Linked DNA regions of Notamacropus eugenii. The protein of the gene in region 1 purifies or fractionates together with the protein of each later gene. This does not show direct contact. Links are inferred from orthologs where the notes say so. Each region holds a gene or a part of one and is shown on either strand. Other genes may lie near its edges.

Region 1 (7,080 bases):
TTCTCTGGAAAGAGTCTCATCTGCAGGGGGCTGGAGTAGGTTCCCCAACAACGGTGAGTTTGTTCCTCCCTTTCCTCCAACCCAAGCTCCTGTCTAAAAACAGGAGTAACCAGAAAAGTGGTACTCTTTAGGAAGCCTCTCTAGCCCCCTGATAAATCACTAAACCCTTTGTCTCCTCATTGACTTTCACCCAGCTCTAACATTCGATTGTGTCTGTGGGAGTATGTTTGGGATGTATGTTTTCTTGTTGGAGCTCCTCATTCAGCCATCAAGCCATTTTCCCCTTCCCCCCAAGCAAATACTGTCTCTCCTCCCAGGGTAGAAGTGGGGAAGGCAACAGAGACCCTAGCCTTCCAGCTCCCATGTTATTATATCCCCATGACTTGGGGACCCAAGCCCTATTTCTAGTTGTTCTCCAGAAATTTCTTGATGGGGGTGGTGGAAATTCTGTTCTAGGATAGCCATTCCCTGGCCAAAGTCTCTTCCTTCGTGTGTGTCCTACTGAACCTCTGGTTGTCCTACCTCTTTACCACTGTATTTGGAATCAATGCCAAGAAACCAGCCTTAAATGAAAGAGGATTGGCATTCTCCCCTTTCCTCCCAACTTAATATGCTCTTCTCTGAATACCACCATGCCTACCTCTTAGTTCCTCGTAAGGGAATTGCTCTCTCAGGGTAAAGGTAGCTCAGGGGTGGGGGGAATAGTAATGGTTATGATAAGAAAACTGATAGCCATAGTGCTTAACAGTTTATATTGTCTCACTTGAGCCTCACAGTATCCTGCTGAGGTAGGTACTATAATGACTATTCCTCATTTTATATATGAGGAAACAGGCTTAGATTAAGTGATTTACCCCCTGGTCTCTCTGTCCAAAATGGGATTTGAATGCAACAGGTTTTCCTGATCCCAAGCCCAGCACCTTTTTACCCTGTCAAACTGCTGCTTGTGGTGAAGGGGAAGAAGCTGAGATGTCTTGCTTTCTGATCCGTTATACGCTATAGCAAGAGAATGTGTGGTTAGTCTTAGGAGGTGAAGGGATGCTGTGGTCCCTTCCCAACAGAACTGAATTGCTGGAGATCATTGCTGGAGAGCTGGTGGCTAACTCATCAGTCTGGCCCTAGAGTATACAAGTGAGTGGCTGGCTGGAGGCAAGCCTGGAAACTGGTATGGGTCAGTGGCAGGGGTACTTGGTATATCCCCAGCCTTGCTACCTTCCAGAGTTAGTGCCTGTGTCCCATCTCATTAACTTTGGGGGTCAGGAGGTGGCTGGGTTTCTGGATTTAGGGATCCTAGTCCCATCATTCTCTCTTCTTCCTGTCTCAGAATTGGGTCTGCATTTGTTTTCAGTGTTTGACTGAGAGGTTGGGGCTAAGTACTTAATTAGGTGCCAGGATACCCAGGGTAGAGATCGAAGATTTGTCAGAAATTCTTCTCAGGTCCTCAGAGGTGGGGTTGTGACTTGAACATACAAAGCCCAGCATTCTAATAACCTCAGGATTCAAAATTGCCAGAGTGAGGAGGAAATATTAGAGCCCTGGATTCCTGGGGTCAGCCCTAGGCTAGGAGAGTCACCAGGTGCTATAGGAGGTAGAGATAATACAGAATCTACTGGGACCTTTCTCACTAAGTGTCTTAGAAGAGACTCTAACTTAAGCATGAATGCTTTAGTCCTCACACTAGGACTTGAATTAATGATTTACCCAAGAAGAGGAGAAGTGTAGTTAAATTTTGAACCATCAAAGGACTGTCTGTGACCCTGGCTCCCTAGAGCTATAAGGCCTGTAAAGAAGCCATTAAACCATAACATCCAGCCTCTCCTTCTTCTGAAGTGGGGAGGGGATGGGGGGGAAAGAGGGGGAGAAGAGATAGGTATCTTTAGGAGGTAGGTGTCTTTTTTTTAAAGTTACTTTGAAGAGACAGTTAAGAACCTAAAACTCAGTTCCTAGGAGCCTCCTAGGCCTGAGAAACGATCAAAGTTGCCTCCCAGTTGTAAAATGCTTGGTTATTAGTTTGACGCAATCATCTTTCTACTCTCCTGTGTTTCCCTCTCTTTTCCAACCCTTCTATGTACCTACCCCCATCTCTCTCTGTCTCTGTCTCTGTCTCTGTCTCTCTCTCACACACACACACACACACACACACACACACACACACCACACACACACACACCCCAGCATTTACTGGCAGCAAACACTTCTGGAACACAGCTCCACCACCCAGCTTTTCAGGGAAACTGATGGAATGGACAGAAAAATTTTTAAAAATGTTTCAGTTTGGGGAGTGGAGGGACTGTCTCTACCTGATTTCTTTTAGGACATGCTTGGTTTCTTTAGGGGATTATCTCCTAATTTAGTATGAGATAGTTCTTCATTTTTCATTCCAGCTATATAACTGGGGGCTGGAAGCTGGTCATGCTTTGGACCTACACACTCTCATTTACATTCATTACCCTCTCAACTGCCCAAACCTCTCCCTACACACTAGGTAAGTGGGAATGCCAGCCTCTGGACCCAGTAACACCTTCTCCAAGCCAGACTGACAGACTGGTAGAGTGTTTCTGTGGGTAGGCATTTTGTCTTCTGCTCAGGGTGCCCAGGGCAGCCTAGTGCAGTGGTTAGAATGCTGGACAGGAAGTGCTATCAGGAAGTCCTGGGTCCAAATCCAGCCTCAGGCACTTACCAGCTGTGTAACCCTAATTAAGTCATTTCTCAGAGTCTTAGTTTCCTCTTCTCTAAAATGAGGATAATAATAGCCCCTACCTCACAGAGATAATGTATGTAAAACCCTAGGAAAGAATCATAATATAAACGATTATTTTCTTGTTCCTTCCATGGTCTGGGTCTCTTCCTTTTATTGGGTAACTGTCCCACCGTCTTGCGTTAATTTCAGTCTGTTTGTCTTCTGTTCTTTTCTCTGTGAAGATGGTTCGCTATCATGTAATTCAGGTAATAGCTGAAGATACTCAGACCCCCATTCCTGGCTCTCTCTGCCTTGGACAGGCTCCTCAGGACTCCCTTTCTCCAACTGCAACATGGACTGACACTTTCTCCCTGCTTCCTCACTTCTCTTCTGCCCCTCCAAAAAGCTTGTATCTCAGGTAACCTCTTTGAATACCATGGTCAATTTAGAGACAAGGTTCCCCCTCCTCTCAACCTGAATTCAGTTCAGTGAATGCGTCTCTCCCCTCTGCATTCTTTTCTTCTTAACTGTTCTATCACTCAACATTGAGTACTTTGCTCATTGCTCCAAGAATGTTGACCAAGTGACTAGTTCAGTTGTTAACTGCAGCAGAGGGGATGCAGGTTAGACACCCAAAAGGCTTCCTTGAAGTTAGAGATGGTTCTTGAAAGGGTGCTTGAAAATGGAGATGCATGTTGACCCTTCAGGGCAAGAGAACCATCCTACCTTGAAGGGGATGAATGAACTGACCTACTCTCTTCCTGAGGTTCTTCCCCACCCCACCCCACCCCCAAAAGTGTTGAACAACTCAGATCTATTTCGGAACCTCCTATCTATGCTCAGTGGAAACAGCACTGTGACATGATATGATCTCATTCTGAAGCTAAATAAAGCCATTGTGTGAGACCCAGCTCTGGCTACTACTCCCTTGTTCCATTTCCTAAGCTCAGGAGGCCTGTGGGGAGAGAGGGCTTGAGGGAGAGTCTTTGGAAGGAATAAAGATCATGGAACAGAAAAGGAAATGCAGCAAGGAGGCCAGGGTTTGGGAAAGGAATTACCAAGAGCTGGTACTGTTGGGGAGGCAGCCAAACCCCAGTCCCTTGAAGAGTAGAGTGAGGCTTCTATGTGACAGCCCAGGGACAAAAGAAAGGATTTTCTGGAAGTGTAAGAAGAGACTTTCACATCACAGTGCTTGAGAAATGCCTCACTGGCCTTCAGTTTCTTCCTCTGGAAAATGATGCTATTGGTCAATGTGATCTCTAAGATTCATTCCGACTCTAAATCCTGTCTCTGTGTCATCAGAGGGAGGAAGAACTTCTGGGGATTCCATCTTCAGAAAGACTAGAATGTGAGCAGAGGGAATCCCACCACTGGTAGAGAGAATTGGAAAGCCTTCCCCTGGATGGACCAGCATGGTACTGGCACCAGGGAAGTGGGCACTTTGGGCTTTGGAAGGAAGAGGGAGGAACTCCGTGATATCAGAATCAGGGGCTGTGTTTGTAGGGCTAGGGGATCAGGTGATTTGTCTCCAGGAAGGGAGAGAAAACAGGAAAAGACTTCGGTTCATTTCCTTCTGCTTGCCATGCCTCTTCCTATTTTAATTCTAGATATGGAGCTATGGGGTGGAGGGGAGAAAAAGCAGGTGAGAGAGATAGGGGTGGTTTGTTGTTGTTCAGTTATGTCCAATTCTTCATGACCCCATTTGGGTTTGGGAGTTTATTTTGGCAGAGATACTGGAGTGGTTTGCCATTACCTTCTCCAGCTCATTTTACAGATGAGGAAACTGAGGCAAACAGGGCTAAGTGACTTGCTCAGGGTCACGTAGCTAGTAGTGTCTGAGGTCAGATTTGAATTCCAGTCTTCCTGACTCCTGCTCCAGCACTTTATCTACTTCACCACCTAGCTGCGTGGAGATAGGGGTGGAGACTCACTACTTATTTCCATGTGCATCTAGAGACAATAAAGCTCCTATTCTCTCCTCATTTGTGCCCCCTCCAGTCCCTCTCTAGTTCCTGTCCCTTTTCCCTCAGCCACAGTTCCACACAATTTTGTATCTACCTTTCTCTGGAAAGTGCGCAGTTGACAGAGAGTCCTGCTCTGACCCCAGAGCTATTCAACATCTTTCCCACTCCCTTCAGACATACCTATCCTGGCTGCCAACATGATCGGATGCCAGCTTGTACAAATGGCATAGGCCCAGCTATGGAGAAGGAAGAAAGTCTCTTCTGGTGGCTGGCTACACATTTGTCATCTCCTTGGCATAGGAAGGACATGGATAGGCACAATGGCTGCACCTAGTTTCCCTTTCCATCCCTGGGTTCCATTGGTCAGGAACAAAGACCAGCTGCAGAAGTCTAAAAGCCTGAGTCTGCCTTAGGTGGTAAAGGGTCACAAGGTTGTAGATGACTGGCCAACAATCTCTTTTTCTGTAGCTTCTGCATGTAGCCAGGGATAGTGGGCAAACTGGATTGGGAGGGAGGGAAAATAGATGATAGGAAGAACTTTTTGACATTCAGGAGATCCCTGGGGTAACCAATGGACTTGGGAGAAGTTTATGCTCCACCTTCATACCCCTTCCCTTGATGGTCCTGGCAGAGGGAATGACCCTCCTGCCTTTCAACAGATTATAACCACTCCTGAAATCTCACTGGATAGTGAGGTGTAATCCTTAGAGAATTAGTCCCTGGAAACTCAGATGCCTGTATCTCCATCACAGCAAAGGGCTTAAAAATGTGGACTAGGCATTGGTTTGGTGGATTGGTTGGAATTGCTTCATGGATTGGGATTTCATCACCCTCAATGTCAAAAGTCCTTGGAGAGTTCATGGATCTTTGATATAATCTAGCATGAGCACTGTTACCGAAGTGCCTGTCTCTAAGAAGGGCTCATTTGCTACTTCACAACCCATCTCCATGCCAAATCACCTAGAATATACTCCACCCCTTTTGAACAATAGCTCTGGAAACTATTCATATCAACACTACCATTCCTAGAAAGGCCATATCAATTATTTGTCAAAACATACTTGTTTGTATTTATATCTAATAACTAGCATATAGTTATTTTCATTCATTCATTTGAAAGAGGGTGCAGTTGATAAGGTGAGAGAAGTCTGTCTCAGGGGAACAAAAACCAAAGTTGGTTGGTGTAACTGGAAACCCTGGCATTAAAAAAAAGCAAAAATGAAAGATATTTAGGAAGCTAGCCTGGAAGGATGAGAGTTGCCTCTCCTCATCCAAAGTAGGAGGCCCTTGAAGGAGAATACCCAAGCCTACCTTCCCCCAACCTCTATTTGTCTTCTGTCTAGGCCAGCCCATCTGCCACTTCCATGAATGACAAAATCCCAGAGGCCATCCTGGCAAGAGGAGACCCCAAGCCCCAAGGAAGAACTCAGAGATGCCTGTCAGCCGTGGAGCCCAGCGGGCAGTCTCAGGAAGAAGAGGAGGAAGAGGAAGATGGCTTCCAACCAGTGCTCCGCCGAAGAGCAAAAGCCCATCAGGCCCGAAGCTACATTTGTGATCCTTTCAGACGACATAGTTGGGAGCCTGGTAGTGTGTTCCAGGAAGCTGCCAATGATCCACTGGGAGGGTAAGCCCCCAAGGGACCTATCTATTCTGCTTCCCCACCTATCTTTTCAGAATCCTTAGACTTAGGAAAAGATGGAATAGTGAGAAGAACTAAGTTGCTTTAGTACTTTAATCACTTGCATACAGATGCCCTCAGATTTGGGAGATAGGTAGGGCAGGGGAGTCTGAGACCTCTAGTTACCACCTAAGGGACTTAAATGGACAAAACCCAGGTATCTAATTCAGAATCTCTTTTGGACTCTAGGGGTTCCTGCCTATGGTCTTAGAGTAGATCTCTTTTAGTAGCCTAAATTCCTCCAATAATCCTTCTTTCTTGCTTTTTGAAGAATTGGGAAAACTGAGGGAGGGGAGAACAGGATTCCCTTTCTTAGCTACTATTTTCTGTCAGTACTGGGTTCTATCCCTGTCTTTAGCTGCTATTCTCTCCCTTCCTTCCTAAGTGTGACATATATCTTTAATCTTGAATTTTGTAGAATCATGGACAATGCCAGGAGAAACCTTATAGTTTATCTCATCTAACTCCTTTAATTTTTCAGATGAAAAAAACAGGGAAGGAGAGAAGTTCAATTGTTTCGGAGATTTCTAGGGAGAGTTTAGCATAGTACCTCCTACCCCACATTCAAGAATATGCCAACCCACGGATTTCACTCTGAGGCTAGCACAAAAGTAACTTCTCAACAATTTTAAATTTAGTGGACTAAACTTGCATTTTGATAGAATAAATTCTCAGCTTTTTGGGTATTCTAGGAGTTAGGATACTTTGGATATGGGTAAAGGGAACAGTCTACACACCCCCAGAGCTGGGCACAGGGA
Region 2 (7,198 bases), about 360 Mb from region 1:
TCAAGCTAAAATACTGACTGGGCCAATAGGGGACCATTTCCCCAACCCCCACCTGGCTTGTGGATAATGGGCCCATGACTTGACTGTACTGTGTGGACAAGAAATATTTATTCCAGTTGACATAACACACATGGAGCAGAATAAGGAAAGATCCTAGCAACAGAGGCAGGTGTCTAAAGTCTAGTTGTGAAAGAGTTAATGAAGGCATGGGACCTAGTCCTGGTCAGATGCCCAATGAGCTAGAGTCACTGTTCAAAGGGGAACCAGTGTGACCTGGGAAGTTTTGGACTTCCCAAGAGAACTGCAAACCTGTCAGGCTCATAGAAATTCTCTTGGCCCTACCTTAAAACACTGAATTCCACTCACAACAGTTACCAAAAAAAAAGGTTTCCAGCCAATCTTTGGTTACAACCTGAAAGGCTGCCTGTGCCTTTGCAAGGCTAGCTTTAACCTGGAGCCAGTTGAATTTCAACTAGAAACCAACAGACCACACCCAGGATGGCCTTAAATCAAGCTCTAACCTCCTGTTTGACTACCCCTGGAAGTCAACAGAAAGCAATGGCTCAAGGTCTGACCAAGGACTGACCAAGACTGACTTGGAATTGTTTCTAGAATCACCCTCCACCTTACCCACAGCCTCTAATCTGGCACTTCCCAGATCTGAAGCCCCAGGGCCAAGCTAATGTGGGTTAGGATAATGCAGTCACATCCCCAACCCGCCCAGGCTCAGACCAGGAGGGCCTTTCCACAAGGCAAAGGAGCATGCTCCTAAACAGTCAAGGCCTACCTACAGTCCCAATTCACAGTGCCCGCAACCTACCTACAGAGAAATCACTACAATATTAATAGCAGCCCATTTATCTATAGCATTTTAAAGGATCATAAAGGATTTTTCCTCACAAGGACCAAGTAGGATGTATAGTTTTATCATTAACTCCATTTCACAGAGAGAACACTGATCTATCAAAATGCCATCTTCAACCTCAACCTGACTGGAAACAGCAGAGAAGGCAGCCAGTCACACAATCCACTCAGGGTCTCAAGTCATCCTGGTGTGGCCTCTTCTCCAAAGACGGATGGAAAGGAAAAAGCAAAGCTCAGAGCTCCCTAGAAGACTGAGAGCAACTCCAACGTTCCCACTGCCTAACAGGGACCAGCAGGACAGAGCTTGGGGCTTTCCTTGACAGTTCTGAGGCCCAAATATAGGGTAGGTTTCAAGGCATCTGATTCATGTCAGACCCTGGCCAACAGCAAGTAGACTGAAAGCCATGCCTCACTGCACTTTCCTCTTACTGTGGCCACTGGCTAGAAGACAGGCTGTCATTTTGTTGACTGCCTTTATGCCTGCTAAGTCTCCAATCCAGGAGCCCTGTTTGAAAAAGAAATAAGCAAAAAACTGCCCCAAATGCTGCCCGCCCCCCCATCCAAGAAACCCTCTTCAGGACACAAAGTTGTGTCTGGGGCAGATAGGACAGAACAGAACTCAGAATCAGATGTCACTAAAAGCACCTCCAAGGCAGTCACACTACTACCAGCTGGCCGCCCTCCCTGTTCATCAGCATGGGGGGGGAGGAGAGTGTTCAATTTTTTTTTCAGACAGCTCTGGGGAAAAGAGCAAAGGAAAGAGAGGAAAAAGCTCCAAGATGCCAATGCTTTACCTGTTTCTGGCAGAACCAGGTGAAGTCATCCCGATGTAAAGCTAGGGTCAGAGAGCCTTTCATGGGGGTGGGGAGTCTCCCCACACATCCCTGCCAGCGAGGAGGGGAATCCTCAGCACCCAGCTGGCTGCTGACACTGCCTTCACGTGGAGAAGCCTCCGAGGAACAAGATGGGGCTTCTCCTTCTTGGCTCTGCTGCCCCTTGGGCTCCAGTTTGCCAGGCTTCCTCTGGGGAAGCCTCCTGTCACCTGTCTGAATCTGGGATGTGCCATAGGCCCGGAGCTGGGCTGAGGACAGTGGGAGCAGCTCTTCCACAAGGATGGGGAGAGGTAAGGGGCCCCCAGAGGTGGGGCACCCTAAGGGTGCAGAAGCCAGACTCACATCAGTCTTTCAAGTGGCTGCGATCAAATAAAAGGCAGCGGGGCACTCCCCCCAACACTGGCATCCTTCAGCAAGGACCTGAAAGATCCGAGGGAACAGGAGGCTTTCATTGTCCGCTCAGCCCACCTACGACCCCCCAGAAAGTGGAGATCCAAATGCTGAGCGGGCGTCCGAGTTCATTCAGGCAGGGTCTGGGAGACAGTGGGGGTGGCATCAGAACAGGCTGCGAAGGCTCCCGGGGGGTCGCGGCCCCCCCACCTCCGCTTCACCCCCAAAGACAACACAGACCCAACGGTCGTGGGGAGGGGCCCCTGGGGCTACTGACTGCGGGATGCCAGGGGCAGGGCGATGGGACCACAGAACAGGGCGGAAGAGGCTTCCCAGGGGGTGCCAGCCCCCGCCCCCCAGGTGTCAGAAGCGGGTCAACTTCGGGTGATGCTGGGAGGAGTGGAGCGATGTAAACTCCGGGCTTCCGCGGGCTGCGGTGTAGACCCCGGACTGCCGGAGCAAGGGGGCAGGGACCCCCGCCAGGCTCTCCGCCCCCTCCCCCTCCGTGTCAGGAAGGAGGGCGGCCAGGGTGCAGAGGAAGCCCGGGGTGTGGCCACCCTGCCCTGGCGGGGTCAGGGGCCCCGGGGCCTCGCGGACCCCGGGCGGGGCGCGGGCGGAGCAACAGGTTGCCCGGAGAAAGTGACAGCGGGACGGCGGGCGCTGGGGTGCCAGGGCCGGGCGGCAGCCCCGTCCCCGAGGGGAGGCAGGGGACGGCAGGCCCGGCTGGCACGGCGTGGGCAGGGGCAGCGGCCCCGGACGGCGCGCTCCTACCTGCTGCTCCGTGTCCCTCTCGTTCAGCGTGGGCAGGGGGGTCCGGGCGCTGGACATGGTGCCGCCGGGTCCGGGGGCCCGGGGGCTGCGGGGAAGGGCCGCGGGCGCCGGGCGGCTCAGCGCGGGGGCCCCGGCCGCATGGGCCCCAGCCAGGGGTGCGGGGAGGCCGGGCCGGCCGCTCACGCCAGCCCGCGGCTGCGCCGCTTGGGCTAGGCCGCGCCGGCTCCGGGCGGCTCCGGGGCGGCCCCCGGGCCCGGGCCCGGGCTGGGCTGGGCCGCCGCTCGGCCGCGCCGCCGCCTGGCCCGCTCGCCGCCCGCGCCGCCCGCGCCGCGCCTCCGCTGCCTTCAGCGGCTCCGCTCCGCGCCCGCCTCACAGGCAGCCGCCGCCGCCGCTGCCGCCGCCGCCGCCGCCGCCGCCGGCCCTGCTGCTCCCAACATGGCCGCCGCCGCCGCCGGCCCTCGGCTCTTTCCGCCGCCAGCGGCCGGAAACAGCCGAAGCGCCGGGCGCCCGGCTCCTGGCTGAGGCTGGCCTCCGGAAACAGCCGAAGGCGGGAGCCACGGGAGCGCGCTCGCCGGCCCAGGGCTCCGGAAACGGCCGAAGGGGAGCGCGGCGGGCGCGGCCGGCCCCTGGACACGCCCACTCGCTCCTAAGCCCGCCCCTCCCCGCCCCTTGCAGACTCCGCCCGGGCTCTTTGCCCGCAGCTCGGGCCAGGGCGGCGAGCGGCGTGCTACGAGCTGGCCACGCCCTCCGCCCCGCCCCCGCAGCCGGGGGCGGGCCCAGGCTACTTCCGGAAACACCCGGAGCGCGGGCTGTCCCCGGCCTCACGGCATCCCCGGAGCGGTACCCAGGCGGGGCCCTTGGGGGCCGGCCCGCAGAGGCCCCGCACACCGCACGGAGGCCCGCGGGGCCGACGTCCTCGGAGCGCTGTGTAACCCTTCAAGCGCCGCCGGAATGGGGCGGCAAAGACCGGGACCTCTTCCCCTGGAGAACGAGATGGGGGCGCGGGGGGGTGGGGCAGGGGAAGCCGGATGTGGGCGGGGCCGGGGCTCCAATCCCACCCTCGAGCCGCCACCTGCGTGGACAGGTAACTGACGTCAGCTTCCCGAGGCTAAACGGGAGCACGTACACTTGCGGGGTTACCGAGCGTTTCCGATAATCGGATCCTGCCCCTCCGGCCGCGCGGAGTGCACCGCCCTGCCCACGCCCCTGAGCGGCTCCTCCGTCTGCGGCTGCCGCGGACCGCAGAGACCCCTTCGTTTAGAGCAGAAGTTCGAGAAACCCTCAGCAGCCTCGGGGCGACGAGCAGCAGCGACGCTGGCACTCGGGGTCCGTGCCTCCCCTGGGAGCCGCCTCTCTGCACGTCTGACCCGCGGCCGCCACCTGTCCGGGCGAACGCACCGCCCTCGGAGACAGCTGAAATGAAGAACTTCGTCCTCCAGGGGAGCTGAAAGGTGCCCACCCTCAAGTGGGCGCCCAGACTGGTGCAGGGAAGGAGGGCTGGCCTTGGATCCGAAGACCTCCCGGACTGCAGGCTCTCTCTGCCTCAGTCTTCTCTTCGGTGGAATGGGACTTAGGATCTTCGTATCACCTCCCTCACATGTCCTAGGAAAATAGAAGTTATTGCAAGTGACCCCACTTCTGCTTCCTGGAGCCAAACAGAGCAAAGCAGTCTGATGAAGGGGTGCAGTGGAGAGGGCAGGGCTTCCTGCCTCAGACGCTGGCTATGTGACTGTATGAGCAGGTCACCTCTCAGACCCCATTTCCTCATCTATAAAAGAGTAAAAATACCTACTTCACAGAGTTCTTGTGGAGCTCAACTGAGATGGTGCATGTGAAGCTGTTTCTGAGTGCGGCCTCCTGGCTCCTGTCTGCTTTGGCTCCCCACTTGAGGCAGCCTGGCTCCAGGATGACTCTCCACCACCTACTTTCTCCCAACTCCACTTTCCCCCTTGGAATATAAACTTGTTGAGAATAGAGACTGTTTCGTTTTCGTTATTTTTTGTATCCTCAGCACTTAGCAGAGGACCTAGCACATAGCAGGCATCTAACAAATACTTTAATGGAATCTAGTCCCTCTTGCACATGGCAGCCCATCAAAGACTTGAAGACAGCAATTAGTATTAGCAGCAGTGGTATATTACTATGATTATCTTTCATTATTAAGGCACCATATAAATCAGTTACTATTTGTCTGTCAAGCAACCCATCTATCCCTCTGAAAATCATCTTCATTTTGTTATCTTATTTACTGCAGATCGGATTACTTGCTGGTGGCTATGGTCAGCCACATACAACAGTCCCAAGGATACCCCATAATCCTAAAAGCTGCATCAGGGATGGGAAAGGAGAGGAACCAAGGAAGCTTGCTGAAGCTCACGTCCCTACCCCCACAAGTCAAGAAGGCTCAGGGGTCTCCCCTGACCCTGGCACACTCCAGGCAGGCCTACACTCCTCAACAAGACATGAAAGGGAGACTTCTAATGATTGCTGCCTTGCTGATAGCTCTGGGCTCCCAAAAGGCTGTTATTAACTCATATTTCCTAATCGCCCCTTTGTCATTCACTGGCTGAGGCTATAATGTCCACCAAGCATGTAAAAGTTAATACCACTGAATAATTCTGGATGCTTAGAAGAGCTCACCAGTCTCAGGACATTTTAAAGGTTTCCAAAGCACTTTGCCCTGTAAGAGAGGTAGTATGAGATTATTAAACCCATTTTAGAGTTGAGGAAACTGAGATGCCAAAACTCACACACTGACAGTATCAGTACTGACACCTAGATCTCCTGATGCCAGGAGACCTGCCTGTGCCTCAGTTTCTTCATCTGTAAAATGAGGGGATTGGATTAGATGGTGTCTAAGGGATCCTCTCTTCTCTGTTTTGACCAGATGATCTGGAGTGTTATTTTCAGTTCCAGGCACCATGTTCTGAAAAGGACATTGATAAGAGTCTCCGGAAAAGGGTGACAAGGAGGGTGAAGATGCTTGAGTTCATGGGCAGGATTGCAAAGCAGAGACTGAGACTGGAAGTTGGGAAAAACCTTCCAACCCTTCAAGCCACCCACCAGTGGATGCAGCCACCTGGGCAGGTAGTAGCAGCTTCTTCCTTAGATGTCTTCAAGCAGACACTGGCAGGTCACTTGACACCAGTGTTGTCATGGGTGTTTTCCAGGTTTGGCTTGGATTAGGTGGCACTAAGGTCCCTTCCAATCCCTAAATCAAGTTATGGGATTCTTGTCCTCCAACAGAAGGACCACAGAAAAATCTACACAATGCCCCCAGGGTATTCCTCTGGTTCTAACAAAGAACAATTGTAGCTCCTATTCTAAAGATGATGCCTAGACTTTGCCTTCTGGTAGCTAGCTAGCAAGCTCACCCCTGGGAGCTCAAAGTTCTCTATGGATGAATATTTCAGGGACAGGAATAATTTCAAACTGGATGCCCTGCAGGCACCTAAAACTCAGCTTGTCCAAAACAGAACTCATTATCTTTTTCTCCATCCTCCCTCTCCTGACTTTCCTTGTTTTTGCTGAAGGTTCCTCCCATCCTTCCAGTCTCCCAGATTCCCAAGGTCTCATTGTCATCAAGTCCTCACACTTCCTCACCCCACAGGTCCAGGCAGTTGTCAAATCATGCAGTTTCTCCCCTTGAACCACTTCAAATAGGTCTTTTTCTCATTATCATTCAATTACCTTAGTCAGACCCTTGTCACCACTCTGCTATACAATTATAACGACCTCCTAATTGGAGGTCCCTGCCTCCCTGTCCACTCCCATAGTTGCCAAAATGGTTTCTTTCCCACAAGCCACAGACTCTTGTTACTTTAGCATACCATATAAACTCCTCCATTTTGCTTTTAAACCTCCTGACAACTGGACCACCTTCATTATCCACTCCACCCTTTCTCAATCTATGGTCTTTTGAGACTGGATTTTTCTCTGTCTTCCGCTCTGGGCTCTCTGTCTCTCATCTTTATGTCTTTGTACTCGTCTTTCTCTCCCCAGACCTGAAATTCATTCCCTTCGCAACTCCAACACCAAATTTCTCACTTCCTTCAAGACTCTCATGAAACACCACCTTCTGAACAAAGCTTTACCTGTCCCTTTGTCTCCCACAATTGCTGATACCTTCCCAAACTTCATTTATAACTACCTCGAACTGATTTTTGTATTTATTCAATTTTATATACGTATATGTGTTATCTCCCTAGTAATCCCCGTTTCATTTTGCATTCCTGGCACCCAGCATATAACAGGAGCTTAATTAATACTTGTCAATGGATTAGAAGGGGGTATTGAAATCAGAATCGGAAAAACTCAAAAGAGGCTGAGATCCAAAATGG

What was found. Proteins that work in one complex are often made in the same cells at the same time.
Region 2: the proteins of ARHGEF2 (region 1) and MARK2 purify together in Homo sapiens (affinity purification with western blotting; 3 studies listed by BioGRID and IntAct, with this or other methods). This does not show direct contact. The link is inferred for Notamacropus eugenii from reciprocal best matches to the Homo sapiens genes ARHGEF2 and MARK2.

The regions. Positions count from the first base shown.
Region 1 is NC_092873.1:380,102,203-380,109,282, reverse strand, and holds the start of ARHGEF2 (rho guanine nucleotide exchange factor 2), read left to right. Parts: upstream 1-4,076; 5' UTR 4,077-4,092; coding exon 4,093-4,095; intron 4,096-5,987; coding exon 5,988-6,268; intron 6,269-7,080. UniProt on the Homo sapiens protein: Activates Rho-GTPases by promoting the exchange of GDP for GTP.
Region 2 is NC_092873.1:16,682,913-16,690,110, reverse strand, and holds the start of MARK2 (serine/threonine-protein kinase MARK2), read right to left. Parts: upstream 3,016-7,198; 5' UTR 2,916-3,015; coding exon 2,859-2,915; intron 2,091-2,858; exon of another isoform or gene 2,040-2,090; intron 1-2,039. UniProt on the Homo sapiens protein: Serine/threonine-protein kinase. Involved in cell polarity and microtubule dynamics regulation. Phosphorylates CRTC2/TORC2, DCX, HDAC7, KIF13B, MAP2, MAP4 and RAB11FIP2. Phosphorylates the microtubule-associated protein MAPT/TAU.